3 linked regions of the Rattus norvegicus genome follow. The protein of the gene in region 3 purifies or fractionates together with the protein of the main gene of each other region. This does not show direct contact. Links are inferred from orthologs where the notes say so. Each region holds a gene or a part of one and is shown on either strand. Other genes may lie near its edges. The genes, in order: Ppp6r3, Arhgef2 and Ankrd28.

Region 1 (10,529 bases), on a different chromosome or scaffold from region 3:
GTCTCACAGAACCCTGTGCTCAGGGCTTCCTTTAATGCTTTATTTACTGTTGGCTTCTTGAAATCGTCACCGTCTTGAGTTGATTTTGGAGATAGCATTTTTGTTTTGTGTCCAGACAGTCTTGGGTGTAGCTGTCACACAGGGCAGGGTATGGACTGGGAGCTAGGCAGAATCGCACTTCTTCTGTAGAGAGGAGTGCTCAGCTGAAGCAGAGCTCTTCAGAAGGATGATGTGGTTCTTGTTATTTCTGTAGTCCACAGTTCATTCACATTGCAATCATCATCAGTTTTTCTGTTCAGAGAAACTAGGAGGTTTTGATAATATGTGTTTTAAATTTAGCGTTTGGTGTCATTGATCCTTTGTCCTCTTTGGACAGTCATATGTTGTGTGGCTCATATGTAAACACAGTCCCTTGCATTAGTATGCAAGGTTATGTTTTCATGGTTATGTATTCAAAATGTTTACTCAGTTTTTGAGAATACAGGCTAAATTCTTTGTTGTCCCTTTGCTTAACAGTTGATGAGCAATGTCCTCCATTTATGGCATCAGGTAGATGATGCAGAGTCCCAGGCTGGAGTTGCTCTTTCCTGAATTAGAAATCAGACTGCATTTTATAAAACTTCTAGGTGACTCCTTGTCCATAAAGGTTTGGGAGTAATTCTCTAAGCTCCCAAGTGGCATTGTTGGCATATTGATAGAACAGTGGCTTCTTTTTGCAGTACATTCCAATTTCCATAATCAGTTAATGTGATGAGCTGCTGAGGTTAAAGTATTGAGATGAGGTCTCAGGACTGCAATCTCCAGCAGTCCTGCAGCTGGCAGTAGAGTGCAGGTCTCTGTGGATACTGGCACTGAAGAAGTTCCAAGGGTGTCTTAGGAGTACTAGTGCTGTGATGAAACACCGTGACCAAAAAGCAATTTGGGGAGAAAAGTGTTTATTTAGCTTACACTTCCATATTGCTGTTGATCATCAAAGGAAGTCAGGACAGGAACTCAACACAGGGCAGGAGCTGTTGGCTATGGAGGGTGCTGCTTACTGGCCTGCTTTCTCATAGAACCCGGGACTTCAGCCCAGGGATGGAGCCACCCATTAACAGCTAATTCAGATAATGCCTTACAGCCAAATCTTAGGGAGGTTTCCTTACTTTCAGATAACTCTACTTTGTGTGTCAAGTTGACATAAAACTAATGCAAAGGATAGGATACTGTTACTTGATGGAAACAAGTGATTCTCAGTCAGCCATACTTAAATTCCTTGGATGTGTTGATGTTGTGTGAGCAGGACCTTGCAGAGTCTACAGAAAGGCTGGTGTTCTCCTCGAATCTCCTGTAGATGAGGTCCCATGTTTCCCAGACTGTCAATGCTGACACACTGTGAAGTGAAGGGCTCGTGTCCTAGATTGCCTTCCAGAGCCAACCTATGTAGTATGAAACTAGTGTAACAATCTTAATGGATCTGTAATTAAAGCCTTGATCTGAGATGACTAGGCTTATTCAGGAGATAGGTTCGTTGGCTCTTTTGTGTGGATAGATAGCTGTTTTCACTATGGGACAAAGACCAGCAGAGGAGATTATCTGTGGGGTCAGGTAACCTGGTAACTTGCTTGCTTAAAATATCTAGTCCTTTCACGGGGGGAAAAACATTTTCAAACTTCTAGGTTCAATTTGTAAAAGAAGCCTAGGATTTTGTTAAAAGGAGGTACTTTGGTCTCTCACCAAGCACCTCACCTTGCTGGCCAGCCTTCCTAAGTGAGATTGAATTTCTTCTTATCCATAAGTAAGTGTCACTAAGCTAAACTGTGGATTTTAAATATGTTTCTGTGTCCTGTAAACACTTTGTTAGGTCCATGATGCTGCATACCTGTAACCCTAGCACTTTTCAGGAAGAGGCTTGAGGATCAGTTAGCTACATAAGTGACTGTATGAGATCCTGTCTCAATTCTGTTTTCTCCCCCATCCCCAATATTTTTTGGTTTGATTTTATTGTTAATTCTAACTCTAGTTTCATTGCAAATTTTAGCTTGTGTCGTTGGTCTTTAAGACAAGATCCCTTGCTATGTAGCTCAGGCTAGCCTCTAAAGCTTAGACTCTTTTGGCCTTGGCTTTCTAAGTGTTGTGATTATAGTTTCAGGCTACCATCCCTGGTTTTTGTTTTTGTTTTTGTTTTTTGAGGCAGGGTCCCTGATCAGCTGGAAATTTGCTCTACAGGTCAGCCTGGCCTCAAACTCAGAGCTCTGCCCACTAAAGGTATTTACCACCAAAACTGCATTTTACCTGAGGGAGGGTAACTGTTATTTTGTATCTAGTTTCATTTTTCTTCAAAGGGTACCAGCCCAGGGACAACCACTTTGCCAGTGCTGGTTGTGTCCACTCAGCTTGCTGTAGAATAGGTGCATACCATGCCTGCGCTTTGGTGTTGAGATAGTGACATGAGCATATGAAGAACATTCACTGTGAGTACATACTTCCATGTTCTGCTGTGTGCTGATGAAGGAATCAGTCATTTTACAATAAATGCTAAAAAATTCTCCTTTCTCTGTGTTAAATTTTATGTTTAAAATAGTTTGTATTTTAGATAAGTAATTCAAAACAGTTTTGGGTTAGGGGATTAGAAGGCTGGGCCAGTAGGAAGGCCATTATAACCCTGCTGGACACTGGGCATATTGTTTCGAGTGGATTGTAATAGCCTGGGCAAGGATTAGGTCTCCAGGTAGTTTCCTACCATTGTGTCAATTTGAGCCTCAAGACCTCTTTTGTTTTTACTTATATAAGCTTTTAGGGCCATTCTGGCCATTAACAAAGCTAAATGTAAAGGGGGAAGGGATGTGTGTAGGTCTTCTGACTAATGACACAGCATAGTTGAGTTTCTCATCTACCCAATACCTACCTGTGTATGCAGCAGGATACCATCCTATGCCTGGGAGCCAGGAGGGCCGAGCAAGCTAGCTGCAGGGCAGATTGGGGCCCTGGGATAGATAGATACCTGGATGGGTTCAGGAGATATTAGAATACAGATGTCAGGAGGAACTTCTTCTTATAGGTTGGAGGACACTGGACTTTCTGTGAATGACCAGATATAGATGATCTCTATCACATTCCTTGTTCCACTTCCCCTTCCCTCAAACCTAACTCTATTAAAAAATGTCAAAACCATTCTTAATTGGCAGGTGGTGGGTTGGATTGGGTTGGGTGTGTTCGCTAACCCACCCGGTTCTTACTTTATTGTAACTAATCAGTCTTTTTCTTTTCTTCTTTTGTTTTAATCACTCTTTTTCTAAATCCCATATTTGCTGCATTTCCCGACTAAGACTATGGTTTGGGCGGTTTTACTTGGTGTGGGTAAATCTACTTGATTCATAATGTAAGAGTGGTAACTTCATTTGCAGCCATCTGTATGTAGCCTGTGTACTCTTGAGTTCTTCCTTTGATAGGCAGCCCAGGAGGACCTTGAATCTTTTGTCCTATAACACTGGAGTAGTGAAGCTGTAAAAAAGCACTTTAAAAAAGTTTGTGGTTTTTAAAGGATTTACAAATAAATGAACTGTAGTTACTTTAGTAGAAAATTTAAGATAATACTGATGGTGTGACTTTGTACCCCTAAACAAGAACAGTCTCTCCCCTTTCTCTTTAGGAATATAAAAAAGAAAAACCCCCATTGTTCCCCCCTCCTTTTTAAAAATTAATTTATTTTCATGTAAATTGGTGTTTTGCTTTCATGTATGCCTGTGTGAGGGTGTCTGATCCCCTAGAACTGTAGTCACAGATAGTTTGTGAGCTCCTGTGTAGGTGCTGGGAAATGAACCCAGATCCTCTGGAAGAGTAGCCAATGCTCTTAATGGCTGAGCCGTCTATCGTCTCCCCTTTCCCCTTTCATATTATCTTATGGTACTGTTTGTGCTTATTGACTGATTAGGATAAAATGACATGGGTTTTCTTTTTGTTTTGACCATTTTCCCCAAATCTGAAAACCAAAGCAGTATATATATATTTCTTAAGGTTTCCCTGTATTGGCTTTTTCTGGACTGCTTTTCTGTTACTTGTTGCCATTTTTGCAATGACTTCCCAGTCAGAACTAGTTTAGCATTGTATTTAAATCAGGCAGCTGCTTAAATACCTTCTGCTGACTGCTAGAGAGCTTCTGCAGGTCCATTCCTGCACCCTGTTAGAGCCGGGGAAGGTCACTTGCTTGTGTGCTTGTTGCATCTGTGTTGGGAGCTGCATTTATCTAGCTTGTTGTCATAATGTGTGCATAGGGAAAGGCTGTGCTTCTCTGGGGGCCTCTGCCTTGTTTCCTCCCGGTGGAGCTGTGTTGTTTGCTTCCCCACCCCTCATGTATCCTTTTCAAGTGAGGAGTGTGAATTTGGGTCATGTGAACCGAGCAGCTGCTGTTTGTCCTTCCTTGGCTCTTAGTCTTCTTGCAGCTCAAGATTGTGAGCAGATTTGCCAGTGTCCTTGAGAGCATGTAAAGGTGTTATAAACTGACTTTGGTGATAGTTGACACTTAGCAGTATTGCTTTATGAAACTGTTCCCTAAGGTTTCTTGAACTTTTCTTAATGAGGTTGCTTGTTGGAGAGTCAGGCTCAGCACCTGCCATGTGAAGGGGACGCTCCTTGGAACAACCCACTGTGCACAGTCTGCTTTTCAGCTCTCATTTTTGGGTCAGTCAGTCACTTTGACTAGGAGCATGAGTAAAGTTTGCCTCTGTAATTCCTCTATATTTATTTTATTACTTGTTTGTGTTTTTTTTCCCAGACAGGGTTCCTCTGTCTAACCCTGACTGTCATGAGAATTCACTCTGTAGACCAAGTTGGTCTCAAACTGAGATCCACTCATCTCTGCCTCCTTAGCGCTAGGATCACTAAGTGCCATCACCCTTTCCTAAATTTTCTACTTTAAGAAAGTGATTTTGAGAACATCAAGTATGGGTGATTTAGCAAAACATACAGGTATAAAGGTAGGTCCGCTTTACATAGGTAGGACCTTTCCTTTTGCTTGTAAAAACATGTAGATATTGGTGAGCTTTTCTGGTGGTAGTCCTTCCAGGATGCACTTGACTGGGTGGGTGGCTAAGCTGTAGCTGATGGAGAGCTTTTGTTTGAGCACATGGTAGCCTTGTGCCTCAACTCTCAAGGAAGTCTCTGACCCCTTCAGAGGCTAGCATACCTGGACTGATTGGTTCTGTTGCTGCAGAGACCTGGTGCTGGATGGCTGCATCTTGTTATTACCTTCTGGTTAGAAGTGGCCTGTGAGACCTCTTCCACATTCCATACGTAACAAACGAATGCCTTTTTGGCTCTGTGACTTGAAGAACAAGCATTTCATGGTTGTAGGCATGGAGACCAAGTTGAGGAAAGACTATAGTATTGTTGGGGGTTGACTGTCAGCTGTTTCTCTTAGTGACTTAGGATAGTAAGTTTGTCTTAATTCTTGAAGTTGTAAAGTTTAGTTCTTTTCTGGTACTCTATGACTTTTAGCTATTAGTGAAGTCACCTGCAGCTTTACAGTGATATTCCTCTGTTATAAGGGAAGTCACCTGCAGCTTTACAGTGGTATTCCTCTGTTATAAGGGAAGCTCTGGCTATGCCTCTTCATTCTCATTTGTTGTTGAAGATGGCAATTCTCTGAAGAATCTATTCTTCATCCTTCAAAAAAAAAAAAAAAAAGAGTTGCCGTGATTCTTTTTTTTTTTCCCCCTTTTCTTTTTTTTTTTTTTTTCGGAGCTGGGGACCGAACCCAGGACCTTGCGCTTGCTAGGCAAGCGCTCTACCACTGAGCTAAATCCCCAACCCCAAGTTGCTGTCATTCTTGATCTTTATCTGTCTCTGTCTGTTTCTCAGTCTCCCTGCCTGCCTGCTTTCTCCTCTTCCCTCTCCCCCTCCCCCTCCAGTTTTTCTCTTTTAGACCAGACTAGACTTGAACATGCAGTAATTTTCTTGCTTTAGCCCTCCAAGTGGTAGAATTTGAGGTATGAAATATTTTTGCTTAAAATTTTTTTTTAAATTAATGGGCAACATGCTTGTAGAGGTCAGAAGACAACTTGGAAAATCTAGCTCGTTCCACCCTGGAGTTTGGTGATCGAATTCTAGTGTTCAGACTTGTCAGCAAGCTCCTTTTCCTGCTGAGCCATGATATCCTCCTTCAGCATTCTTTTTGTTTGTTTTGTTTTTTTGAGACAGGGCGTCTGTATAGAATCCTGGTGATGACTATGTAGACCAGGCTGTCCTCAAATACACAGAGATCCTCTCAAATCTTTCTCTAGAATGATGGGATTAAAGATGCAGGCCACTGTGTCTAGCCAGCATAAAAATTCTTAAAGTATGAATGAATTACTTCTTTTCCTCTTACTTTTATTGACGGGGGAGGGTGGGGGATGACAGATTCTTGCTGTGTGGCTCAGGCTGGCCAAGAACTTGTGATCATCCTGTCTCACTCTTGAAAATTTAAGAGTTTTGGGTATGTGCCAGGCTGACTTGGATGAAATGCTTTTACAGGTTAAAATCATTCCAAACTTTTGTATTCAGCATTTTCAACATTTTAGCCAACTGAAAATATTTTCTGGGATGGAGTGATAGCATCTAATTTCGATTCCCAGCCCCATTTGTGGCTTACAAATATCTGTTAACTCCAGTCCTAGAGAATCTACCAGCCTCTTCTGGCTTCCAGGACCATTCCGTGCAGGTCATGCACATATAAATAAAAGTGAATAAAGTTTTTAAAAAGTCTAAAAAGAAAGCCAATAAATAAATTCTTTAAAATTTTTTTCTAAGAAAGAAAAAAATCCTACTAGTGTTATTCATTAAATCATTTTGCAAGTTAAGTGTGAAACTGCTTTATTTTTGTGTCAATGCCAAGTTGGCATTGTAGATCAAAATTGAACTGAAATTTGGTTTGTGGAAAATTAGTAAAGCCTGAATTTTATGAAAATCTTTCTTTGTCTCGTTTAGAACAGCATGTTTTGGAAATTTGATCTTCACTCATCATCCCACATAGACACGCTTCTAGAGAGAGAAGATGTAACACTGAAGGAGCTAATGGACGAGGAGGACGTTTTACAGGAATGTAAAGCACAGAACCGAAAGCTCATAGAGTTTCTGTTAAAAGCAGAATGTCTGGAAGACTTAGTCTCATTCATTATAGAAGAGCCACCTCAAGACATGGATGAAAAGATCCGATACAAGTAAGAAAATGACGTCTTTGCCTTAGGGTGGGGTAGAAAATGATTATTTGATGTTTAAGAATTCCCTAGAGCCACTATGAACTATGGACAAGATGGTCAAGAGCTACACAGTTATGGAGCACACAATTGATTCTAGAGCCAACAACAGTGAGTCACAAGCATCTAAAATGTTCTGAATCTTCTCCAGACGTACAACATGCTTTATAATAGACAAACTTCTCATATTAGTTAGACATTCAAGTAAGTGTCTTCTCTACTTTCCAGATAGGAAGCCAGAAGTCTATGACGGGCCAAGATTGTCTAAAGGTTTAGTCACATCATTGCTCAGATAGTAAGGTCAGCCCTTCCTCGCATGAGTTTTAGGTGTGAGTTGCGTGGGTCTTGGTGAATAGCGGTGAAGCTATATTTAAGTAGGAAATGACATAATAAAACAGAGTGGGTTGTAAGCCATGTGGTTGCTGGAACTTGAACTCAGGACCTCTGGAAGAGCATCCATTGCTCTTAACCTCTGAGTCATCTCTCTAGCCCAGAAACAAATTCTTACAAACAATTGATTTAAAGGCAATTTTTTAGACAAAGTAGAAAATGTCTTTTAACTTAGAGGTTGGATGAAATGGATTGAAGGTGCTCTTAATTCATTGTATATGGTTTTGATGACTTGATAGAATTTTAGGAGACCTTCCTGGTGTATGCTATACTTAATGTGATAAAGTTTCCACTAGATGATAATGTAATGTCCTGTTCTTCTAGGTATCCAAATATATCTTGTGAGTTGCTCACATCTGATGTCTCCCAGATGAATGATAGACTGGGGGAAGATGAGTCCTTGCTAATGAAATTATATAGCTTCCTCCTAAATGAGTCCCCCTTGAACCCACTACTTGCCAGTTTCTTCAGCAAGGTGCTAAGTATTCTTATCAGCAGAAAACCAGAACAGGTAAATACTGTTTCCAAAGGTAAGTATCTGGGCTGTGCATCCCCAAGGTGACACCAGAAACTTTGTTGCAGTGTTCTGAGCATGCTTGAAGTCCATTTTCAACAAGAGAGTGTGTTTTAGGTCTTCATCAGTTTGAGCAACCCTGGTTTACACATTAAGGAATATTTCTTCTTTGACATACTCTTTGATAGGCTCTAGCTCTGTTTGTTAGCATACTTTGATTTCTTCTCTGAACTCGTAATCAAAAGCATCTTTTTGAGAGTAGCAGGCTGAATCTGGGTGTGTATCTAATGACCTTTTGGATTTAACAGTTGGCTTTGCTTAGTTGTTTCCAAATGATGATCTTGAGAGAAGGTAGAATCAGGTATTCCCGAAAGTGAAGCTGACTAGTGCTTTGTACACAGTGGTAATTTATTTTAGCTTAGCTGGATACCCTTGCATCCCAGCAGTTCCTAGTGTATTGCACTGGATAGAGGCACACACCTCAATATTCTTACAGCTACCACCCCTTGACCTCTGCTTTCCCCACTAATTCAGATTTATGTGGAAATGCCACTTTCCAAGGAGTGTCACTTGGTGAAGTGTGACCTTTGGATCAGTGTCACCAGTATCACCTGAGAACTCTTTTTTTAAGCACTGCAAGTTGATTCCTCCCCCTGCTCTGCAGGGGTCTTGACAGTGAGGGGTTTAGTGCATTTTTCAGCTCACAATGTTGCTTGCTGGAATCAGAGAAAACATCGCTCTAGTGGATATTGATGTGAAAGGGTGCTCACTTCCAAGAAATAGCTAGAGCAGCAGATGCTGAGTGCAAGCCGACAGATTATCAGATGCAGCAGGCAGAGGTGAACATGGTCAAGCCAGTCAGACCTGGTGTTGTTCATGGTAGACAATAGTCCCCAGTTACTTGGTCTTATTCTGTGGTCGGCTGAAACTATTTTGGGCCCATTATGTTCTGTTCTCTGTTAAGGCTGGGCCCATGTTTTATTTCAGAAGGATGATGTTCTTTTTGTTCAGATAAGATTTTTATTTGAATAAGACAACTTTCCCAAGTGTGTTGGAGGAAGATAATTTGCCTTGAGTCACAGTAGTCACAGTCCCCAAGTCATGGTGTCAGTAGTGTAGATTGTCTCCCATTCTGCCCTCCACATAGAAATCAAAGTATCATTGGCAATTGCAAGCCATCACATACCTTGGCATAGTTAGTTTAGAGATGGCTACCTCCATTAGTAAGGCAGGCTTCAGTATGTTTTTATCCTTACATCTGCTGTCGAGACCCAGGCTGATGAGCTATGATTTCTGCAGCGTATAAGATAAACCATGAAAATATGTGGGAGACTTTCTGAGTCTCTCTGTTACTGACACCAGAGTTCAGAGCCAGTTTTATGATCTGTCTTGACAATGATGATATATGTCAGTTGAACCCTAAATGAAGAGTCCTGTCACCTTGTTTGTGTAGCTAGGATTCCTTGGAAGATGAGAGTACAGGAGTGTTGCTTGTATAGCTGCTTTTGTCTTTTGACAAAAACTTGTTTCCCGTTGTTTGGTAGTGTTGGTTAGGACTTAGGCACTGCCAGTGATGACAAAAGTCCACAGTCACATGGCTTAATTAGAAAGGTACTATTCAGCCTCTAGAAGAGGGTATCCAACTGTTGGCAGTGTTGAGTGGTTTAGTCTTCCAATGAAATCTAAAGTATAAATAGGCCTCGTGGTCCATGCTGCAGTGTCCATAGCACCAGCTAAGGTTTGTGCCTGTAGGCCCTAGAACCAGTATTTCTGCCATGAAATTGTGGGGAAGTTTGGCCATGTGTGACTTTTTCCTCCTCTCACCCTTCCTTTCAAAGACTTCTGTAGGAATCAGCTGTGAATGGCATGGCTGCCACTCCTTGAAGAAGTGCATCTATTTTACATCGTTGTCTACACAAACAGTACACTGACTCACTTTGAAGCTACTTGGCGGGTGTAGTTCTAGCTGTTCTGGCTGTTGGTCTTCTTTGTGCAGCTTGGTAGAAGTCCTGTGACTTTCATAGCGTGCAGATCTGAGTTTAACTCCCAGGACAGTTTCCTTTTAGTTGTAGGAGATACTAGCATGTCTGAGCTAGGATTTCTCATCTAGAACAGTGAATCTTCACCTTCCAGGGCTTAGTGAAAATTTGTGGCAAACTTTCCTACCACCTTGTGAAGCTCTCCCAGTATGTGTGGTAGGGTTTTAGCAGATGCTGTGGGCTCTGGGCTCACAGACACAAATAAGACATAGGAAGCTGTGTAGGACAGAGCATCATTTCCATTCCTAGTTCTTTCCCACTCAGCACAGCCCCCTTTTCCCAACCTCCTCTTGTTGGTCACATATGCACGAGTGCAGCCTAAGTCACCTCGTGTTAGAAACATCTTTGCTTTGAATCTCCCTTCATTTTTAA
Region 2 (10,529 bases), on a different chromosome or scaffold from region 3:
GAAGCAACCGCAGCCCGGCCAGCTTCGCCATCCCGAGAGTTGGCTCGGGATAGCTTTTCCCACCGCTCAGGGCCTTCAGGGAACAGGGCTTCCATCAATCTTTCTTGCTGGACCACAACAGCCTGGAGGGTGGGGTGAGGCGAAAAGGTGATTCAGAAGCCATTTCTATCCACTTTTCTCTCAATCCCGGGGACCCAGAGAGCTTGGCTTGGGGGAGCACTTAAGCCTGTTAGGAGGACTGTCATCGGCATGGACACCTTTGGGTAGCTCCTCCCTTTCTTCCCCACTCCAGCCCTGGCTCACTGACCTGCAGGCCTTGTAGGAGTCCATACAGATTGACCAATGGTTGTAACGCCTCCTGAGGACAGAGAAGAGGGTGAAATAGTACCCAGGCTTCAGGAAGGGTAAGTACTGGAGGTTATCAGGAGGGTGTGGAAATGGTGTCTAGAGACAGACTTAAGAGTATAGATTCTCCCCCCACCCAAACTGGGTTATGATTTCTCAGATAGTGGCTTTCATCTATCTCCTCTACCACAGAATTCCCATCTCACCTCCTGTGGTGACCTCAACTGATTTCCATTCCGATCCTACAGAAATGAACAAGAATGGGAAGTCAGCGGGCACAGACCTGGGAACCTTCCTCAGCAGCTGTCTACTGAAGATCCATAGGCCAGCTGTGCCCTTTCTCTGGCCACTCCCTGGCTCTCCAAGAACCCACCTTCTGGCTGGAATCTGAGTCTGCTCTACAGAGCTCAATGGAGCCATTGAAGGTTCTGGCCTCTCCGTCTGTGGCAGAGAAGAGAAGGAGGAGCAGAATATACTTGTACCTGGGGCCCCTCCTCCCTTATTAAGTCACTCCCATCTTGCTTTCATGCCCTGTACTCACTGGCAGTGACCCCAGGACAGCTACCACTGTCAGCTTCTACGGGTAAGGCTGGTTCTCGGGCTGTCAAAGGCAGGTCCACACAAGGGCCCAACAACAGGTCTTTCAGGCCTTCCACTGCAGGAAAAGAAATGGAGGGGACAGGAGACAAAACCCAGTGGGGATCCACCCAACACACATCATTTGGGTAGTGGGGTTTCAGTTGGCCATGTGGCATCCAAGAGACATCAAAGATGCACAGTGGCAGCACAGCCTGCCTGAGGGAGAGGCCTCCAACAGCAAGCTCAGATCTCTTCCCCTTTCCTTCCCAGGAATTAGACCAGGACAAACCCAAACCCCCCCATGGGTTGTGGTGTTGAGTGAACAGCCTAGGCTCTTCAGTGGCCTCACCTTCACGGAGGGCATCTTTGAGCAGACGCTCGCCTCGAAGGGACTCAAAGGACTCAAGACGGAAAAGGCCCCTGGGCAGGGTGGGCGGGGGCATTCCGATGAAACCAGCTTTTAATGCCTGGAAGTGGACCATCTCAGCAAATAGCTCAACATTCATCTGTAGCAGCTCCACCAGCGCCTGGTTTTTCTGCTGCAGTTTCGCTGTGGATAGGAACAGGTTAAGTGTGGAAGGACCAAGGACCCAAAGAGCCTGTGGAGGGCAGGCCAGGGACAGCAGAGGGGTAGCCCAGGGTCAGCAGAGGGGTAACCCAGGGTCAGCAGAGGGGTAGCTCAGGGTCAGCAGAGGGTCAGAACTTAATTCTTGGCCTGGAGCATTCCCAAAACCAAAAAATCGCATGTGTGGTATAAATCACCATTACTTTTGTTTATAAAAATCTATGAATAGGGACTGGAGTTTTGGCTCAGTGGTTAAGAGCACCGGCTGTTCTTCCAGAGAACCTGGGTTCAGTTCCCAGCAACCAAAGAGCAACTCACAAGTGTCTATAGCTCCACTTCCAGGGGATCTGGAAAACACACATGCAGGCAAAGCACCAATACAGGTAAAATAATAGTAAATGCATGCATCTTAAATATCTGTGAATAAGGGTTCAGGTTGACCATCTCATCTTCTTCATTTCCTTCAATTAGAATACTTGTAGAGGGCTGCAGAGATGGCTCAGTGGTTAAGAGCACTGACGAGGTCCTGAGTTCAAATCCCAACAACCACATGGTGGCTTACAACCCTCTGTAATGCGATCTGATGCCCTCTTCTGGTGTCTGAAGACAGCTACAGTGTACTTATATATAATAAATAATTATCTCTCAAAAAAAAAAAAAGAATACTTGTAGAGTGCTCACTCAGAGAGCAGAGTAACTTGCAGTTAGACACGGCATTTGGACTGTTTTGTTTTTGTTTTTGAGACAAAGTCTTGTGTAGCTGAGGCTGGCCTCAAACTCCTTATATAGTTGAGGCTATCCTCTGTGGTATTTTGAATGAGATGTTTTCATCAGGCATTTGAATACTTGGTACCTAGTGGGTAGCTGTGTGGGGAGGATTAGGAGGTGGAGCCTTGCTGGAGGAAGTAACTGGGGGCAGGCTTTGGGGTCTCAAAGAACTCAACCTTTCTCAGCTGGTCCAGTGGTCACGTCCGCCACCCGCTGTTCCCACCATTATGAACCCTAACCCTCTGGAACTGTAAGCCCAAAAGAAACCCTTCCTTCTCTGAGTGGCTTTCTTTGGTCATGGGGTTTTATCACCACAATATAAAAGGAACTAGGGCAGACTTGAATGCCTGATCCTACCACTATGGATCCCAAATGCTGGGATGACCAGTGTGCACCCCCACAGCTCTCATTACAGGACAAATTTAACCTTTTTTTTCTTCACTTTCGTTTGTTTTCCGAGATAGGGTTTCTCTATGTGAATAGCCCTGGCTGTCCTAAAACTAGATTTACAGATCATTTTAGCCTTGAACTCACAGAGATCATTCTACCTCTGCCTCCCAAGTGCTGGGATTAAAATCGTGGGCCACCAAGCCCAGCAGTAACCTTTATTTTTAATCATATGGGTGTTCTGCCCACATATATGTCTATATACTGTGTACATCTGTGCACCATGTGCAGGCAGTGCCCTCAGAGGCCACAAGGGGACACTAGATGCCCTTGGGACAGAGAGATAGTAGTCTATTTTACATATACCAACACGCGCGCGCGCGCACACACACACACACACACACACACCCCAATACACTTCACATTGTTTTAAACCCAGCTCTTTTTCATGTTTATTTTGGACAGACTCTCAGCTCACATGAAGCTTTCACTTTCCCTGAGATCATTTTATTCTGTGTGAGTTTTGCCTGCTCATAGGTATGTTCATCATGCATGTGCCTGTGAATGAGGTGGCCCAGGGCATCAGAGATCCACTGCACTGGAGTTAAACGATTGGGAGTCACCAGGCTGGTGAGAATCAAACCTGAGCCCTCCGATGGAGAAACCATTGCTTTCAACCTGTGAGTCATCTCTCCAGTCCCTTTTTGAGCCAGCCTTTCTGAGAGCAGCATGGTATTTTGTGTGGATACGGTATAGATCAGCCCACTCCCTGGAGGGAACTTACTCTTGATCCTCCGGAGGTACGCCTTATCCTCTGTCTCGATCAGAGGGAAGTCCTCCCTCGACGGGCATCTGCAGAGCGACAGGCAGGTTGGTTTGTGGGAGACACTAACAGTCAGCGTTCTCTCCTTTGCACATGACCCTCCTCTCATACCGTGGCTTTAGTCCCTCTTGGCACCAATCCTCATCTCTCTAACTCAGGCTTACAAAGGATATAAAAAGCCTGCATCCACCTCTAGCTCTGGTCGCATCATCGGGAGAGCCATTTTGTCAACTTTTGTTATTGTTGCCAACTTCTGACTCTCTGTGGGTTGCAGCATTGATGTATGTGGTGCTGGGGGAGGGGCCCAGGGCTTCCAGAATGCTAGACAAGCACTCTAACAATTGAGCTACAGCACTAACTGTGTGTTGGGTTTTGGTTTGGTTTGGTTTGGTTTGGGTTTTTGGACAGGGTTTCTCCTGTAGTCCTGACTATCCTGGAACTCACTCTGTAGACCAGGCTGGCTTCGAACGCAAGAGATCCACTTGCCTCTGCCTCCCCAGTGCTGAAATTAAAGGTGTGCACTACCACTGCTGGGCCTATTGTAGTTTTTAAGACAGGGCCTCAGCCCAAGCTGGTCCTGAGCTCCTCATGCATTAAGGTTGGCCTTTAACTCTGAATCCTTCTGCCTCCACTTCCCAGGCATTGGGAATATAGGTGTTAATGCCACACCAGGCTGTCCTCAACATTTTGGATAAAACGTGTTCAATTCACTAACATCAATGCTTCAATCACCCCCATTCTTTCATTTTTAGAAAGTAGAGGTAAGGGCTGGAGAGATGGCTCAGCGGTTAAGAGTACCCGACTACTCTTCCAGAGGTTCTGAGTTCAATTCCCAGCAACCACATGGTGGCTCACAACCATCTGTAAAGAGATCTGATGCCCTCTTCTGGTGTGTCTGAAGACAGTGACAGTGTACTTATATGTAATAAATGAATAAATCTTAAAAAAAAAAAAAACTAGAGCCTTCTTCCTACTGCCAGTGATGTATGAGGCTGGCACTATGTCACTGGCTGGCAAGTCTGCCACCACCAAAGAGCTCTACACAAACCGTTGTCAGTTCAGAGTGCTTTGGAGGGATAGCTGGGTTATCTGGATATAAATTACAACTTTTCATGTGATTTCTCTTATCTTGACTCATCTTGTCTATTCCCAGCTTCTGCCCCAACCTCTCATGATGAGTTAAGTCCCCGGAAGTATTCCACCTAGGACTGGAAGCCGTATGTACACGCAGGCACACACTCACAAGCGCACGCTCTGCTGGATGACACGGATCCAGGTAGTACGGTCATCTCGAGATGCTGCGTGTACTTCATACATTTCAGGTGGGCCAGAACTGATCAGAAACATCCCTTTCGCCTGGTTGGCAATGTCTCTTACGATGAGATTCTGCAAGGATACCACTGAGGGCTTGTCCTGTCGGGGAAAAGGGAAGAATTCAGCCAAGGCACCCTAACCCTTAATATCTGGGTTTCAGTTCTAGAATACCAAAAGGATTGAACATGGTGATACATAACCAAAACCCTAGGCATCAGTACCAGCCAGGACAATTTAGATGTGCGTGTGGGTCCCTTGATACATTCTCTGTCCCTCCTTCCCTCCAACTTCTTCCCTTCCTCCCTTCTTCCCCGCCCCCTCTCTTCTGGGTCTCACTATGTAACCTAAACTGGGGTTGAACTCACTATGTGGCCCCGAACAGCCTCAACGTTGTGACCCTTGGGCCTCTGCTCTCCCAGCACTGGGGCTTGTGCCTGCTTTACTTTTGCTGTAGTTGCTGTTTTTGAGATAAGGTCTCACTCTATGACCCTGATGGGCTTGGAACTTGCTATGTAGACAAGGCTGGCTTAAACTCAGAGATCTACCTATCTCTGCCTCCCAAGGGTGGGGTGAAAGGTCTACTCTACTGTTCCAATGGTAAATTTACTTACTTATTTAGTTATTTTTTAGATGTGGGGGGTCTCATGTCGTCTAGGCTGGACTTTGAACTCACCGTGTGGTTCATGACCCTGCACTCCTGATCCTCCTGTCGCTAACTCCCAAGAGCTGACATTACAGGCATGGACCGCCAGGCACTAAACTTTACCTTCGTCATCCACAAAACGAAGTTAATGACAGCTTCCCTGACGGGGCAAACCTGCCCGAGCACAGCAGCGGGACCTGGCGGCTATCTCACGTTTCTTCTTTTTTCTTCTCTCTCTTTTTTTCCCAGAGCTGAGGACTGAACCCAGGGCCTTGTGCTTGCTAGCAAGCGCTCTCTACCACTGAGCTAAATACCCAACCTCCTCACTTTTTTTTTTACATAGATAGGGATTGGACTCAGCAAGACTTTCTTGGGCTGGGTAAGAAAATGGATGAGAGAACAGAGGAAGGCTCACCAGGGACGTGAAAATGTACTTCTGGTCCTTTTCCTGGAGAAACACCAGCACATCTGTCATCAGTAGTAAGAGGACATCTGGCCAAGACACAAAGTGGGAAAATGGTCAGCACTGAAGGCTCAAAGCAACTGTTTGCCCCCTCTCCGAGGACCAGGCACACCCCCACTGGGTTCCCCCCAACCCCCGCAATTGCTTCATCTTTTCTGACCTCTGACCTCCAACCTCACCATTTTTTTTCCCCAGAGCTGGCTAAATCCCCAACCCCAACCTCACCATTCTTTTGTTTTTCCTTCAATATTTCAAGACAAGGTTTCTCTGTGTAGCCCTGGCTGTCCTAGAACTCACTCTGTAGATCAGGCTGGCCTCTAACTCAGAGATCGCCTGCCTCTGCCTCCCAAGTGTGGCCACCACTGCCTGGTTCAACCTCCTCAATCGTACAACATGGAAATAGAGGGGACAGGGGTTGGGGATTTAGCTCAGTGGTAGAGCGCTTGCCTAGCAAGCACAAGGCCCTGGGTTCGGTCCCCAGTTCCAGAAAAAAAAAAAAAAAGAAGAAATAGAGGGGACAAGTTGCCGATGCCAACACAAAGGAACTCTTGCCTCAGAATTTTTTTTTTCTTTTTTCTTTTTTTTCGGAGCTGGGGACCGAACCCAGGGCCTTGCACTCGCTGGGCAAGTGCTCTACCGCTGAGCTAAATCCCCAACCCCCCCCCTTTTTTTTTAAATCGGCCAGTTTTAGTCAGGTGTGGTGGTTCCAGCACTCACGGGGAAAAGGCGGGCAGATCTCTAAAAGTTTGTCAGCCTGGTTTACAAATCAAGTTCTAGGCCTGCCAGCAAGATATTGTCTGAAAAGAATAAGTAAAAAATAAAAAAGAAAGAAAAAGCAAAAATAAAAAACACCCAATTAATAAATAAAACCAACAATAACAAAAAAATCTAAGTCACCCAATTCTGATTCTTTGAAGTTTATTTTGTATGTGTGTTTTTGCCTGCGTGTGTGTCACATGCATGTAATCCCCACAGACGCTGGAAGAGGGCGCTGGATCCCCTGGAACTCAAGTTACACAGTTGTAAATTGTAAGCTGCAGTGTGGGCGCTGAGAACTGAACCCAGATCCTCTGCAAAAACAGCTCTAACCACTGAGCCATCTCTCCAGCCCGACTCATGCTTCTTAACCTAGGGTCTTCAGCCCCCCCCCCACCAGAGTAGCCATGCTTGCTTCAGAAACTCTGTAAACCGGCTGCTGTTACACAAACACTTACACATTAACATACAGGTTCAAGTGATCCTCCTGCCTCAGCTCTCGGATAGCTGAACTACAAGCAAGTACAAGCAAGGACTTGCTTAATCCAAGATATTTCTAAGTCACAGGATTCCCAGAACAAGACAGGTTGTGCTCTTTGCCTTTAAGTTGTGTCTGACATCTAATGCAAGCACCTTTTTAGGTGTTCTAATACACTGACATATTCCTGTCTCTTACTTTTTGCCAAAGAGAGGGACAAAGTAAGTTTCCTTCCAGGAGAGCAGACTGAAGGCCACCCCTCACCCATGACCTGTGACTGATCTCATGTCCTCTAACCCCAGCCAGCCCTGCTTCAGTTTCTTTCTCCTGCCCCACCCTCCAGGCTTTCAGACTGTCATGGCTCCTGTACGCAGAGGAAGGGAGGAACCAAAGACCAATTCTTTGAGACCTGAATGGCACAGTTAGGAACACACAGTCACCCTTTGCCTGTGGGGATTCTTACTAAAGCGTGGACACAGGAGGGGAGGGCTTTCGCTAATCACTCAGAAACAGAGCTCTCCAGCCTTGCTATTTTTACCCCTCAATGCTGGGTATTCTTAGCTGCGGCGTGGGAGGGATGGGAAGGAGAGAGAGGGATGGAGGAGAGAGCCTAGTAAGGACTAACAGGACGCAAGCCCTAGGGGTAGGAATTTCACAGCATAGATGTGATTGTGTATGGGCTCTGGCTTCGGGTACCCCCCACCCTTCACCTCTAAAACCGAGGTTTAGGGGTGTTATTTTCTTGTCCTGATTTAGGGGCAAGGATTTTAACTGTAGATAAATTCTAAAAGGTGAGCCTGGGATAGTGCACCCTGACACTCCCATCCCCACCCCCACCCCAACACTGCCCTGTAGTCCCATCTCCATTCTTCAGCCTCTCAGTCCTTCCCCAGTGTTCAATTCTCACTCTGGGTCTCCTAGATGCATTTCTGTTGCGATTCTGGCCGAAGTTTGTGCCTCTTCAGCACTAGGTTTCCCTCTGATTCTCACCCTTGGTGAAAGGCTGTAAAAATAGTCCCTATGGGGACTGGAGAGATGGCTCAGTGGTTAAGAGCACTGACTGCTCTTCCAGAGGTCCTGAGTTCAAATCCCAGCAACCACATGGTGGGCTCACAACCATCTGTAATGCAATCTGATGCCCTCTTCTGGTGTGTCTGAAGACAGCTACTACTGTGTACTTTAAAAAAAAGGTGGCTGCAACTCATACAGAATAGGACCACTGACCTTTAAAGCGGCCTGTGGCTGTCTTCCAGAGCAGGCAGCCATCATGGATAAGTTTTCTCCGCAAAAGTTCATCTCGGCCGAAGGGGCCCTTGCCAGGAACAGGGGTCTGAGCCCGAGGATCCATTCGGTTGTAAATCTCCTGAAGGCGGGCCTCTTTCTCCAGCTCGTGTACATCCTGGTCCACATTGGACAACAACTCCTTTACTAGCCCTAGGGCTGCTGCCAAGTCTTGGTACTCCTCTTCAATCCCTGGTACCAGATGTCCAGAGTGAGAGATAGTTTAACCAGTACCACTCCAACCCAACTCTACCTGAGCCTGCTCACTGCTCCCCACCAATCCTGCTTCTTCCCCTGGATGTCCCCAGGCAGGCCCTGCCCCCATGCTCTTCCTCACCATGGGAATTCTGCAGGATCCTGTTGATGAGCACTGGGTATTTGGTAATCCGCTGAGTTACCAGGAGAATGCACTCCTGAACCCCATGCCGCTTCAGCACAGCAGAGCGGGTCATTTTCTGTAACGGAAGATGAAAGACTAAGGGGACAGAAAGACTGGAGTCCAGGCTCTGAGGCTGGCCCACCCTGGTATCCGCCCCATGTTGGTCTAGGCAGACAGCTTCTCGGAAATGAGTAACAGAATGTCACAGGTCTGTGGTGACAAGCAAACCAATGATGGCATGAAAACTAGACCAACATCCTCTTGCCCAGTAAGGGGTGACTGTTGATTTAAGAGATGCCTTTAATAGCAGTACAGGAAGGGAGATAGATCTCTGAGGTTTTAGGCCAGCCGCATCTACACAGTGAGTTTCATGACAGCCAGGGCAGCACAGAGAGACCATGTCTCGACAAATGAAAGATATCTAGGGGCACAGTTCACAAGGGTGTTGAGGGACTGCCCTCTATGAGGACACAGCTCCCATATGCTACCCTGGGAGAGTTTGGGTTTGAGCCATGAGAAGGCTGGGCTTGGACTTGGGCTTGGAGAAGCTTGCTCACCCGGATGAACTGTTGGAAGCGTTTGTCTCGAGCGTACAGCTCCTTATAGAGCTTTAAGGCCTTGGTGTGGCGGCTGCAGAACTCTGAGTAAGTCTTGCGCATCTGCTCAGCGTTGGAACCTGAGAACTGGAAGCCAGGAGAGCAAGACTAGGTCAGCACTTCCTACAGAGCCGCACCGCAGCCCTCAGCACACCCCTGGCCTTCTGTTAGCTTCCTCCTCTCCAGCTGTTCCCTGCTTTGCTTCCTTCTGGCCACCAGAGTTTGCTTGGAGGTAAGAACTGTTTACTCCTTGGCCAGCAAGATGGCTCAGCAAGTAAAAGCACTTCTGACAACCTGAATTCAAACCTCGCATGAGGGGAAAGAACCAACTCCCAGAACTGTGCATTCACAGACAGGTTCACGTGTGTCTTCTCCTACCTGGCTGATGAGCAAGTCACCCAAACGATGGATGACAAAGTTCCGGGTGCTGCCTGGACACAGGGCCTGGCGCCGCCGTTCCAAAAGCTGACTAAGGAAACGTGTGTGAATGTCACTAAGCTCGTCCACACAGGGGAACAGTCCCTGGACCACTTCTGGCTCCATCTGCAACTCTTCCAGCATCCCAGTGCGGAAGAGGCGGGTCATAATCTTCAAGGTTCTCACATGGTGCAGCTCGGTCTGGATCAGCTCTGCGAGACAAAGGAACATGGGTCCCCTCTGTACTCTACCTCAGGCACAACTCATGGGGCCCTAGAGAATCTCTTCCAAATTAATGCTTGTGCCGCTGTCAACTCAGACCACTTCCTTGTCATTTCAAGCAGTAGACTAGGGGTTGGGGATTTAGCTCAGTGGTAGAGCACTTGCCTAGCAAGCGCAAGGCCCTGGGTTCGGTCCCCAGCTCCGAAAAAAAGAAAGAAAAAAAAAAAAGACAGACACTGTCTCGGGGTAAAAAAATGTAAGAAAGAGAAATTAAAATCACACAGAATATGTTCTCTGATCATCATGGAATTAAACTATAAATAAAACATAACACAGTCTCCAAGCACTTCAAGCAGTAGACTATTTTAGAGCAAGAGTCCTGTGTATTAGGGGTGTAGGTTTCCCAGTTCCTGGCACAGTGTTGGGCATGGGGGAGGCAGAATGAAGACTGAGGACTGAGTTGAAGAAGAAATATAAGTGGGGCCTTGGAAGCTGGGTACGGTAGTACGTACT
Region 3 (10,629 bases):
TGGTGTTTCAGAGACCTTTTTCCTCATCTGCAGTATTGCTGATATGTCTGCTGACAAGTGGACTGCCATTCCTTTTAGGTATGTCTGACTTCCTTCAGTGTGAAGTTTTACATCTTTGTATTCTGCTTGGTTTTCTAGACATTGCCTACTACCTACAGGCTTCATTTTTAAGTTTATTCCTATTGAGACTCCATTTCTTCTTTAATTCATGGTGTTCTTCGAGTCTGAAAAACTCTGGCATTATCTTTATGTGCATGACTGTCCATTCAGTCTCTACTTTCTGAACCCCTTTAGATAAACACCTGGCTCTTGTCATGTCTCCTGTGGCTCTGAACTCCCCTCTGCTGCTTTGACAGTCTATTATTTGCATCTTATTGATAGTTCTAATTCTTTAGAAAAATCATTTTATGCAGTAGGGATTATCTGGCTCAAAAGAACCCCTCACAGCTGTCTATTTCCTACCACAAAGGCTGCTTTTCTGGTTTTTAAGTGCATTATGCCATTAGGTCCTGCCAGGGTAAGGTGGGTGAACCTGAGCACAGTTAGCCCCTTTAGGTAGCAATATGGAAAGGCCAATGAAAATTACACTAGGTCAGGGATATAAGAAGACTTAAGTGCCTAACATGTAGTAGATTAGGAAATAAAACCTTGTGTGGTGCTTAGCTTTCAGTAACTTCTTTGGTGATCTTATCTGTGCTATTTATTTTGGACACAAGTTTTGATGGCGACTACATCAGTTCTCAGACTTGGCAGTAGTGAATGGCTAAGGCATGGGCAAATGGGTTTAACCACAGTCAGTCTTTATTTGAGTCTTCTTAGGACTTCTGACTCTTTTTATGAAAAGTACTTATTGAGTGAACAGGGCAGTTGGGAAGTATCAATGGTATACAGAAAAAGAGATACATGTAAGACTTGGGAGATGGCACAGCATGAGGACCCAAGTTTGGATTCCAAATCTTACTGTCCAGACAGTTTAGCCAAAACAGGGAGTTCCATGTTTAGTGACAGACATTGTTTGAAAAACAATAAGGCAGAAAGTGATTGAGGAAGACATTCTGTCGAGCCTCTACAAGGTTGCAAGGATACACACAAGCACACATTCACAAACTCACACAGAGGGAGGAGGACAAGGAGGAGGAAGAGGAAGAGAGAGAGATTTTATTGATATCATTTTAGTATTTAGTCCCATTGGTTATGTGTATGATGTAGGCAGAACTTTTCAGAAATATAGTTATCTTATTTATTAATTTATAACACGGTCTCCCTATGTAGCTTCCCGGTTAGCTTCCTTATTGGTTACTGTGATGTATGTAGTACATTTCAAGAACACAGATTTAGCTATCTATCCATCTATAAAAGGGTCTCATTATGTAGCCTCCTGGCCAGCCTATCTGTCTATTTATGACAGGTTATCACCATGTAGACTCCTGGACAGTTTGGAACTTGCTATATTGATCAGGATAGCTTCATCCTCATGGAGATCTACCTGCCTATTATTCCCAAGTGCTAGAACAAAAGGCATATGCTGCCACACCTGGCTGAGCTCTTTAAAATTTTAACAGATGCAAGAATAAGAATATCTTTTAATGTTAATGAAACTTGAACACAAATATTTTTCAATTTATTGCTTAATTATATAGAAGTTTTATTTCTATTTTTTTCCAGAAGCAATAGTTGCTACTATCTCAACAGCTATGAAAATACTGATATTGAATTTGAGTGGTCCTTAAGAATTCCCAGTTTTTCATATTATTATCTTGCTTGATTGTGTGATATGAGTAGGCTTGGTAATATTAAGCTTAACCTTTCTTTTTTAAAAAATAAACAGCGAGGGGTTGGGCATTTAGCTCAGGGGTAGAGCGCTTGCCTAGGAAGCGCAAGGCCCTGGGTTCGGTCCCCAGCTCCGAAAAAAAAAAAAAAAAAAAAAAACAGCGAGTAAGACATACAAGATGTTAAAGTATTCAAGACGGAGAAAGGTGAACCCACCAAGGACTGGAGCACCTTTGCAGCACGATCACACACTCTGTAGTGCAGAGATTGAATGCTGTAAAATACTTTCACCAGTTACTCTTCATTAGAAATTTTCATCACTTCAATCCTAATACACATTTGGTCCGCTATCTCAACCCATACCCTCAAAACCACTTGTATGTTCCCCAAGTCAGTCTGTGCTGTGTTCCTAATCAAGTACCTGTTGTGCTTTTAAATTGTAGAACTTTAACCCAGAGGAGAGCTTACTGAGGATGGGCGTTTGTTCAGTTGTATTAATTGCTGAGTCAACATTCAGTGTTAAACAGGCAAATACACAGAAGAGAGTAAATCTTTCATCCTCGAGGAAGGTAAAACTCTATTTGCTGTAGCACATGGACAATTATAATCACAAAATATTGTAGTAATGTCGTCACAGCACCTTTGTTTTGAAGAAGTCAAAAGCTTTCATACTGCTAACTCATTCACCTTCAATGCCCTGGTAGAGACATGGGAGTGACAGAAACCTCATCATTGGCCAGAGTTGATGCAGAAAGGAATAAATTTCTTTGAAGAAAATGCAAAGCAAGAATCTTTTTTTTTCCCTGACTAAGCCTCTTCCATCAGTTATGAGTATTCCTCCATTTTAAAGTAGCAAATACCATCCATGGTAAAAATGTAATTTTAGAAAAGGGATGTTTCAGCAGAATTATGGCATAGTTATGTTAAGAAATATTGGAAGGTTCTTACTGCATTTGATCTTGCACTTTGATATTTTCTTTTCTTGTGGGGCTAAAGAGTTGTTTTTAATAGCAGCATTATAATAAAGTGACAGTCCTGGCACAGATCCCCATTTTTCTAGACTGCCATTAGGCTCAAATCAGCTCAAATCAATTCTCTAAATTAAGTCTGTCCCAAGAGACACGCCAATGCAGGGAAAAGATGAGATTTGTTTTTGTTTTTTGTTTTTTTTAAACCAAGCCCGATATCTCACGTTTGTGTTCTAACCATCTGTACCTTTTATTAATCAGGGGCTGGAGCCGCCCAGGCTGACAGACACAGAACAACAATCCTCTCCCACACAAGCCTAGAATGGTAACAGTGTGCGGCTGCCTAAGAAAGAAAAGCCTTTTCTGAGCTGTGGGTTGGCGTGGGTGTGTGTGCCAGGGCGAGAGAGTCATTCCTCTTCTTCATCCAAGGATGCTATTTATTGGAAATCCTGCACATCTTTTTGAAAAAATTGATTTCTCTCGAGTGGGAGGCAAAACCCTTTGGATGATAAAGAAGAAAGGGGGAAAACACATGCAAGATTGAAAGGGGCGCTTTGGAGAGAAAAGCTCGGTGGTCCCAACCTGTTCAGGCTGTGAAGGCCACGCCCTTCAATCCCGCGTGCCAGCAGTCCCTCCCCAAACCCCACGTACACGTCTCTCCCAGAGCCGCGGAGGCATTCTCACTCTCGCTCCACGTGCGAGTCCGGTTCCCCGTTGCCCTCGCTATTCTGATGGAAGAAGCATCAGCTCCGAGGTCTCCCTCGCTCGCACCGGTTCCGGCTGCCTTCTCCGCACCTGACTGAGCTGAGCTTGTGCACGCCACCTCCACGTGCCATCCCCGGCCGTTACCCGGTACCCAGTTTCCGTCCCTCCCCACCTCCAGCCCCGGCTCCTCCCACCGCGCCCGGGGCGCGCGCTCAGAAACCCGGCCACCTGGCCCGCCCGCTCCGCGCGCCGCCGCTTCCTGTGCCCCGCCCCTCTCCCGGCGGGGAGGCGGGGCCTGGGCGCGAGCGAGCGCGGCGGCGTGGCCAATGGGCGCCGGGCTTACTCTGGCCTCTCCCCCGCGCGGCCGCCAATCGCGGCGGGCGGTGGTGGTAATATTGTGGAGTGGAGTTTGGATGCCGCCGCGGCCGCGGGCTGGAGCGGCGCGGCGGCGGGGGCTGCCAGGGTATTTCGGGAAGGGGGTGTGAGGCGGCGGCGAAGGCGGCGGCTGCGTGTGGGAGGTGGCTGAGAGGGAGAGGGAGAGAAAGGACGGAAGAAAGAGGGCGGGAGTCCTCGGTGGAGGAGGCGGGACCGGCGGGGCTCTTCGCGGCGGCGGCGGGCGGCCGGGGAGGCGGCGCCGCCCCCTGCCCGCGCTCTCTTCAACGTAGCCGGCCACCTACCCGCCGGGCGCGGGTAGTGGCGGAACGGAGGCGACCGCCATGGCGTTCCTCAAACTCCGCGACCAGGTAGGTGAGGGGCGGCAGGGCGGGATCGCGCCACCGAGGAACCGGAGGAGGGTGTACCCGCGGCGTGGGCCGCCCGGGTGCCCGCTCGGCTCGGTGGCAGCGAGGGAAGAGTGTCCCGGGCCGGGAGCGGTGCGGGCCGTCCGCCTGTCAGTGCAGCCCCAGCTCCGAGAAACCCACGTGCCGCCGGGGGATCGCGGCCCCGGCCACAGGGGCGGGTTCGGCGCTCGCCGCCCTCGCGTCCGGCGCGCTGCCGGGTAGGCGCCTCCTCTTTCCTGCCAGGTGAGGCTCGGGCCTAACAGGTGGCTTTGCGGTGCTGAGTAGGAGCGGTGCTGGCGGCGGCCGTGTCCCGGGGTCACGACCTTGCTCTCGGGTTCGCCGCGTGGGGTGGTTCACGGTCCACCGCACTGTCTCTGCGGAGAGGTGGTGGCGGAAGAAAGCAAACCCACCAGTCCGGATTGATTCTGCTGGAGTCTAGTTGTTACCGTGCATATCCCCAGACTCTTTCTCTTGGCATATTCTGCACCATCTTGGTTTAGTTTTCTTGACTTAGGAAGAGCTTGTCAAAGAACACCTGAAGTGCTCAAAAGACTGACACTTGTGGGCTGGGAAAAATAACACTGTATCTACCAATGAAATCGCAACTATGTCTGAATGAACGCTTGTTACCCTTAAAAAGGTGGGAAGGTGAATCATAAGACTTTCAGGAGATGCAGACGCTCCCCAGTGTTAAACGTCTCTCCTAAGGAAAAGGGAAATTAACCAGTGGAATTCACAGAGTCGTGGGAACCTATTAATGCTAAGTACCTATTTTGCCATTGTTTTTCTGAATAGGAGATACGGAACAGATTTGAAGGGAAAGTTACTTGCATGGATTGAGAAACCATTCAGAAAGAGGACACAGGCTTAACAAAAAGATAGGGGAAAACTTAATATGTTTTATATACTTTTCTACCAATTAAAACGTAAGTTCTGCATCTAGCTAATGTTAATTTCTCATTTCAAAAGCGAATATTCTATTTAAGCTGAATGCTGGCTTTATCGTATCATTTTAGCTGATATTAACAATAGTTTATGATACTTTGAAAAACTGGTTGATAAATTTGTATTTCAAATTATGTGAATAACTTTACTGTTCAGCATGTTACATCAGTTACGCACAGTGTCTTTAAGCTGATTACAATTAAAATATAGTTTCATAATTGTGCTAGTTGCTTTTCAAAAGTGCTAACTAGCTACAGGTCGCTCGGTTACTGTATTAAATACAGTAAAGCCTCTCATTGCACAAAGTTCTGTCAGGGAAAAAAAACCTGTTAATAACAAGCAGCGTTCAAGCCCAAATCATCTAATTCTTACATAGCTAATACCATAAAACTCAAGATCTAGATTTTCAACTAATCTTTATTACTGTAGTAACACTTTGTACCTGCATATTTGTTCTAATCCTTCCTTCAGTTTTGGAAATGTATTTTGTGATTTGGTCATTGTGTGTATTAGGGATTTGGTAGGCTATTTATAAAAACCATGAATAAAAAATAAAAATCCATTTGCATCTTTGCATTAGAGTAACTAGAGTTTTGAAGCAGTCATAACACTGACTCAGTTTTATATAATATTTGTTAATACCCAGTGGTGATATTGATCTTTAAAATGTCGCCTGTAAACTTGAGAATGCTTGACTAAGTTAATGAGATGGCCTCGCTGGGGAAGACTTACTGTACTACTGAAAAATTGGCTCATCTGGTTCTTTTGAAAGACAAAAGCTGAAGAGTCTGTTTTGTCTAATATAAAGGGAATTGCACCTTTTCTTTAGAATCAGTTTATGTATTGATATGTCAAAAGACATTGGAAATGATGATAGAAAGGGAGTGGGATGCAACAGTTTAATGTTTTCCATTTGTATGAAAAGCACATTAGCCGGACAAAGTCGTTTTTGGAGGAAGGGTGAGAAGATCTGGATATGTACACAGGATTTTAAACATGGAAGGTAGTTGATATCACTTTTAACCTTGCAAAGAATAATAAAAAGAAGCTAGACATGAATGAGTAAGGATTTTCTTCAACATTGAAGTCTGAGAATAGTTCTACGTAAAGATATAAAATCAGAGGTGAGAGATGATACTATCAGTAAAGAGCTCACATCTACAAAAGCATGAGAATCTGAGTTTGGTTCCCAAAAACTCCATAAAAAACCTGGGCATGGGTTTGGGGATTTAGCTCAGTGGTAGAGCACTTGCCTAGCAAGCACAAGGCCCTGGGTTCGGTCCCCAGCTCCGAAAAAAAAAAAGAAAAGAAAAAAAAAAAAAAAAACCTGGGCACAGTGGCACATGCTTGTAATCTCAGCGCTGGGGAGGTAGAGACAGGTAAATCCCTGGGCGTCTTAACCAGCCAGCCTAGTCTACTTACTTTTACTTGTGAAGAATGACACTGGAGATTGATTTCTGGCCTCCACTTGCACATGGGCACCCACAGGAACACAGACACATACATGAAAGATACACAGTGAAGACAGATATAAAATCATTAAGCAAATAAAGGAAATTGTCCTCATTCTGTAGTCAGAATATGACAGCATTTATTTTGTGGCAGCATGTAATTAAGGGGATAAGAAAGAATTATTGTATTACTTTCTGCCCATGAGTAGATGAAAATATTTTTTAAATTGTTAGTAAAATGAAACTTTGTTTTCTGTTGATAACAGTAGATGGGAACTTTTTTCCTGAATTACTTTAATTTGGCTTATATAACATTCATCCGTAACAGTGTTAGGATTTTTCTCTCCTGAGGTTATCACTGGCTATTTTTCTCCTTAGGTGATGAAAATTATTCATATATGGTTACATTTTAAATCATAAGCATTATGTTTTATTAAGGAAGGTTGCTGGTCTTTGTTTAGGTTTCCTATTTCAGAAGCTAAATAGCAACTGGCACTTGTATGTAGAAACTGATGGGGAGTGGTGGAGATCATGACCTTAGTGTCAGGCATGCTAGTCACTGCTCAGCCCTGAGCCTTTGTTGTGCAGGTGTGTCTAGTATTTCTGAAATTCTGTTTTCCTTTAGGATATCAGAAGTCCAGATTGTTAGGGAAAAATCTATTTATAGATGTTAGTATGTAACTACCAGTGACAACAGTAAATACTCAGGGTATAAAAGAGGACTAGTATGAAACTAGTGTGTAACGCTAATTCAGATGAGTTGGAGAAAAACTCCAAAAATGGTTCTCATATTAAACCGAGTGTTCTTTGACAACAAAGGACCACAGTGGTCATAAACCCCCAACCCCCTCCTCCCCAGTGTTTTGTGTGTGTGTGCATGTGTGCACGTGTGCATGTGTGCACGTGTGCATGTGTGCGTGTGTGCATGTGTGTTGTGTAGCCAGGGATTGGATCTAGGACTTCTTCCATGATAGGCAGGCACACCACCAACCTGGTCATAAACCTTTTTAAAAATTTAGAATTTGTATACCATAAGATTTACACTCTTAAAATAAGTGGGGTTGTTTTTTTTGTTTGTGGGTTTGTGTGTGTGTGTGTGTGTGTGTGTGTGTGTGTGTGTGTGTGTGTGTTTCACAAAACTGTAATCACCACTAACTCTAGAACATTTACCACTCCAAAAAACCACATGACCATTAGCAGTCATTTTCAGCTTTCTCTTGCTTTCTATGCCTGGTAATCAATATTCTACTTTTTATAAATTTACTTGTTCTGGATATTTAATTTAAATGGAATCATCTAGCATATGGCTCTTTATGTTTTTCATTTGATTCATTTTGCAAATACTTTGTAAATGTCTATTTACTTGTAAAGGTTTATTCATGTTGTATTAATCTGTTGGTCATAACTTTGTATGTCTTTGTATGTATAGGGTTCAAATCCAGGAACCAAGTGTCCATTATGCTAAGTAGACACTTGATCACTGAGCTACATTACTAACCCTCGTCATAAACTTTTGTAACATGCTTAAGAGTTTGCAAAAAAAAAAGTTTAAAAATACTTATACCATTTTATTTGTACCTGAAGTTTACTTAACATTAGTGTTGAATAGTGTTTTTCTGTTTTTTTTCAGAATTTGTTTATAACTGGAGTTAAATTTTGTTTGCAGTAATACTAAAGGGTAGTGGGTTTTAATATTAGATTTTAAATTTTTTCTACTTGTATTTGGTATGTAGGTTTCTTTCTTTTTAAAAAAGATTTATTCTTATATTTATGAGTACTGTTGCTGACTTCAGACACATCAGGAGAGGGCATCAGATCCCATTACAGATGGTTGTGAGCCACCATGTGGTTGCTGGGAATTGAACTCAGGACCTCTAGAAGAGCAGTCAGTGCTCTTAACCACTGAGCCATCTCTCCAGCCTGGTATGTAGGTTTCTTAAAATACTGTTTGTCCCCCATGTAAAAATTGGACCCCTATTAGGTACCTGATTATGAGATATAATTAAAAATATTATACAATACATAATGGTTAGGTCAGTGGTTGGTTTCAGCCCTGGCTATCCTAGAACTTGCTGTGTTGGCCTCAAACTCACAGAGATCTTCCTTTACAGACATCCCCTGAGTAAAGGAATGAAAGATGCGCATCACTATATACTTCAATGTTGGGTGGGGGCAGTTTGTGACAGGGTTTCTCTGTATCCCTGGCTATCCTAGAACCTGGTTTGTAGACCAGGGTGGCCCTGAACTGTGTGTGAACTGTGTGTGGTTACAATGGATGAATTTTTAAAGAATGGATTTAAAAATCTACATAAAAATTTATAGCAAACTTATTTTGTATGGTACAAGTTCTTGCTTGCTCAAGGATCTACTAAGAACTGAGCATGATTAGGGTTTTCTTGAGTAGGGGAAAAAGAAGAGATAATATTTGTGCAGTAGTTTGACTAAGAAGAACCCCTCGAGCTCAATAGATTTGAATACTTAGTTACCGGGGAGTGGAACTGTTTGAAAGTTACAGGGATTTGGAGGTGTGGTCTTGTTGGAATAGGTGTGGCCTTGGAGGATCTGTGTCACTGAGGGTAGGCTTTGACTTTGAAAAGCCCATGCCAGTTCCAATCAATCTTTCTGCCTGTGGATCAAGTTGTAGCTCTGAACTGCTACTCCAGTGGCACGCTCCCACCATGATGATCATGATTTCAGAGGTAAGCCTCTGAGATCGTAAGCACGCATCCAGTTAAATGCTTTCTTTTATATAGGAGTTGCCTTGGTCATGGTATCTCTTTTTCAGCAATAGAACAGTGACTAAAACTTTGAGATACCTTATAATTATGTTTACAAAATGCATGAAATGCTGAAGAACACTGATGCTCGTATGTTCAGGTACTCTGTATTAGAGTTCTCTTTGTTTTGTTAACAGGACAGAAGAAAGAGACACAATCTCTGCCCTTAAGGGTAATATTAGCTAAAAGAGGGGAAAGGCTACATAAGTACCCTTTATGTGAGTTACTTCAAGAGCAAAATGTATAAAGTTGAAGGAAAACAGATTATATTAAGTGAAATGTAATGGACAATTGAAAATTAAAAGCTCATTTTTATCAGTGGCTTTTGAATAACATGTCATTCATGTAATACCTATCATGTTCCGTAAAAGATGGTAACATGTTTCAGAATTCAGAAAGCATCAGATTATAGTCAGAAACTCTTGGGGAAAGTGAACTATTTTAGGTTCACCAAAAGTATATGTCAGTGTCAGAAACAAATAGTTGTGCTTGAAAATGTCAAGAGAAAAATGAGGTGGTAGGCCAGGAAAGAAGATGCTAGGATAACGAGGAGACAGTCTTGCTAAGTGTAGTTGTAAAGGATGGCCAAGGTAACAGTGACCGTGTTATGGTAAGTATTTGGCTGAGAATTTCGATATGGACAGCATAGCTGAGCCTCAAATAAAATCAAATTTCAGCAAGAGTGTACATGTGTGTATGCGCATAGATTTTGGACTTTACTAGGTCTTGGAATGGTTTGGGACACCTAGCATTTAATCACTACGTTTTAAGTTTTAATAGGAATGGGCATGGTGCCTGTAATACCAGCACTTGGACAGTGGAAGCAAGTTTTAGAAGGGCATATTACAAAAGGAAGAGGTGTAGACATCCAAGACCAGTTAAGTAGTTGGTGCTATAATTTCGAGAATGTACATAAAATATTTTTCACAAACAGAATTTTAAATATGAAAGCAGAAATAGAATGGGAGTGAGAACATTTTTTAATTTTGATATTCTCATTAGCATGTGTTGTACAGATTAATACATCTTGTTGTGACATTTTTCATACATGCATATAAAGAGCACTTTCACGATTTCAACTTCTCCATCGCTGTCCATCGTATCCCAGCTGGATACCCTGCTGATCCCCTTGCTTTACTCATGTACTTAAATATCTTTCTTGGATTTCTTTTCCCCCATCTAGATTCTACATATAAGAAAAAACATGGTATTAATTTTTCTGAGTTTGACTTAT

Evidence for each region.
Region 1: the proteins of Ankrd28 (region 3) and Ppp6r3 purify together in Homo sapiens (co-immunoprecipitation; 3 studies listed by BioGRID and IntAct, with this or other methods). This does not show direct contact. The link is inferred for Rattus norvegicus from reciprocal best matches to the Homo sapiens genes ANKRD28 and PPP6R3.
Region 2: the proteins of Ankrd28 (region 3) and Arhgef2 purify together in Homo sapiens (affinity purification with mass spectrometry; 3 studies listed by BioGRID and IntAct, with this or other methods). This does not show direct contact. The link is inferred for Rattus norvegicus from reciprocal best matches to the Homo sapiens genes ANKRD28 and ARHGEF2.

What each region holds. Positions count from the first base shown.
Region 1 is NC_086019.1:210,185,572-210,196,100, reverse strand, and holds part of Ppp6r3 (serine/threonine-protein phosphatase 6 regulatory subunit 3), read left to right. Parts: exon of another isoform or gene 1-2,247; intron 2,248-6,945; 5' UTR 6,946-6,951; coding exon 6,952-7,178; intron 7,179-7,928; coding exon 7,929-8,115; intron 8,116-10,529.
Region 2 is NC_086020.1:176,401,277-176,411,805, reverse strand, and holds part of Arhgef2 (rho guanine nucleotide exchange factor 2), read right to left. Parts: intron 10,007-10,529; coding exon 9,756-10,006; intron 9,465-9,755; coding exon 9,339-9,464; intron 8,858-9,338; coding exon 8,740-8,857; intron 8,595-8,739; coding exon 8,346-8,594; intron 5,917-8,345; coding exon 5,840-5,916; intron 4,881-5,839; coding exon 4,711-4,880; intron 3,497-4,710; coding exon 3,429-3,496; intron 1,475-3,428; coding exon 1,274-1,474; intron 1,001-1,273; coding exon 887-1,000; intron 787-886; coding exon 719-786; intron 588-718; coding exon 552-587; intron 359-551; coding exon 308-358; intron 123-307; coding exon 1-122. UniProt on the Homo sapiens protein: Activates Rho-GTPases by promoting the exchange of GDP for GTP.
Region 3 is NC_086034.1:7,049,810-7,060,438, reverse strand, and holds the start of Ankrd28 (ankyrin repeat domain 28), read left to right. Parts: upstream 1-3,845; 5' UTR 3,846-4,159; coding exon 4,160-4,186; intron 4,187-8,357; exon of another isoform or gene 8,358-10,629. UniProt on the Homo sapiens protein: Regulatory subunit of protein phosphatase 6 (PP6) that may be involved in the recognition of phosphoprotein substrates. Involved in the PP6-mediated dephosphorylation of NFKBIE opposing its degradation in response to TNF-alpha.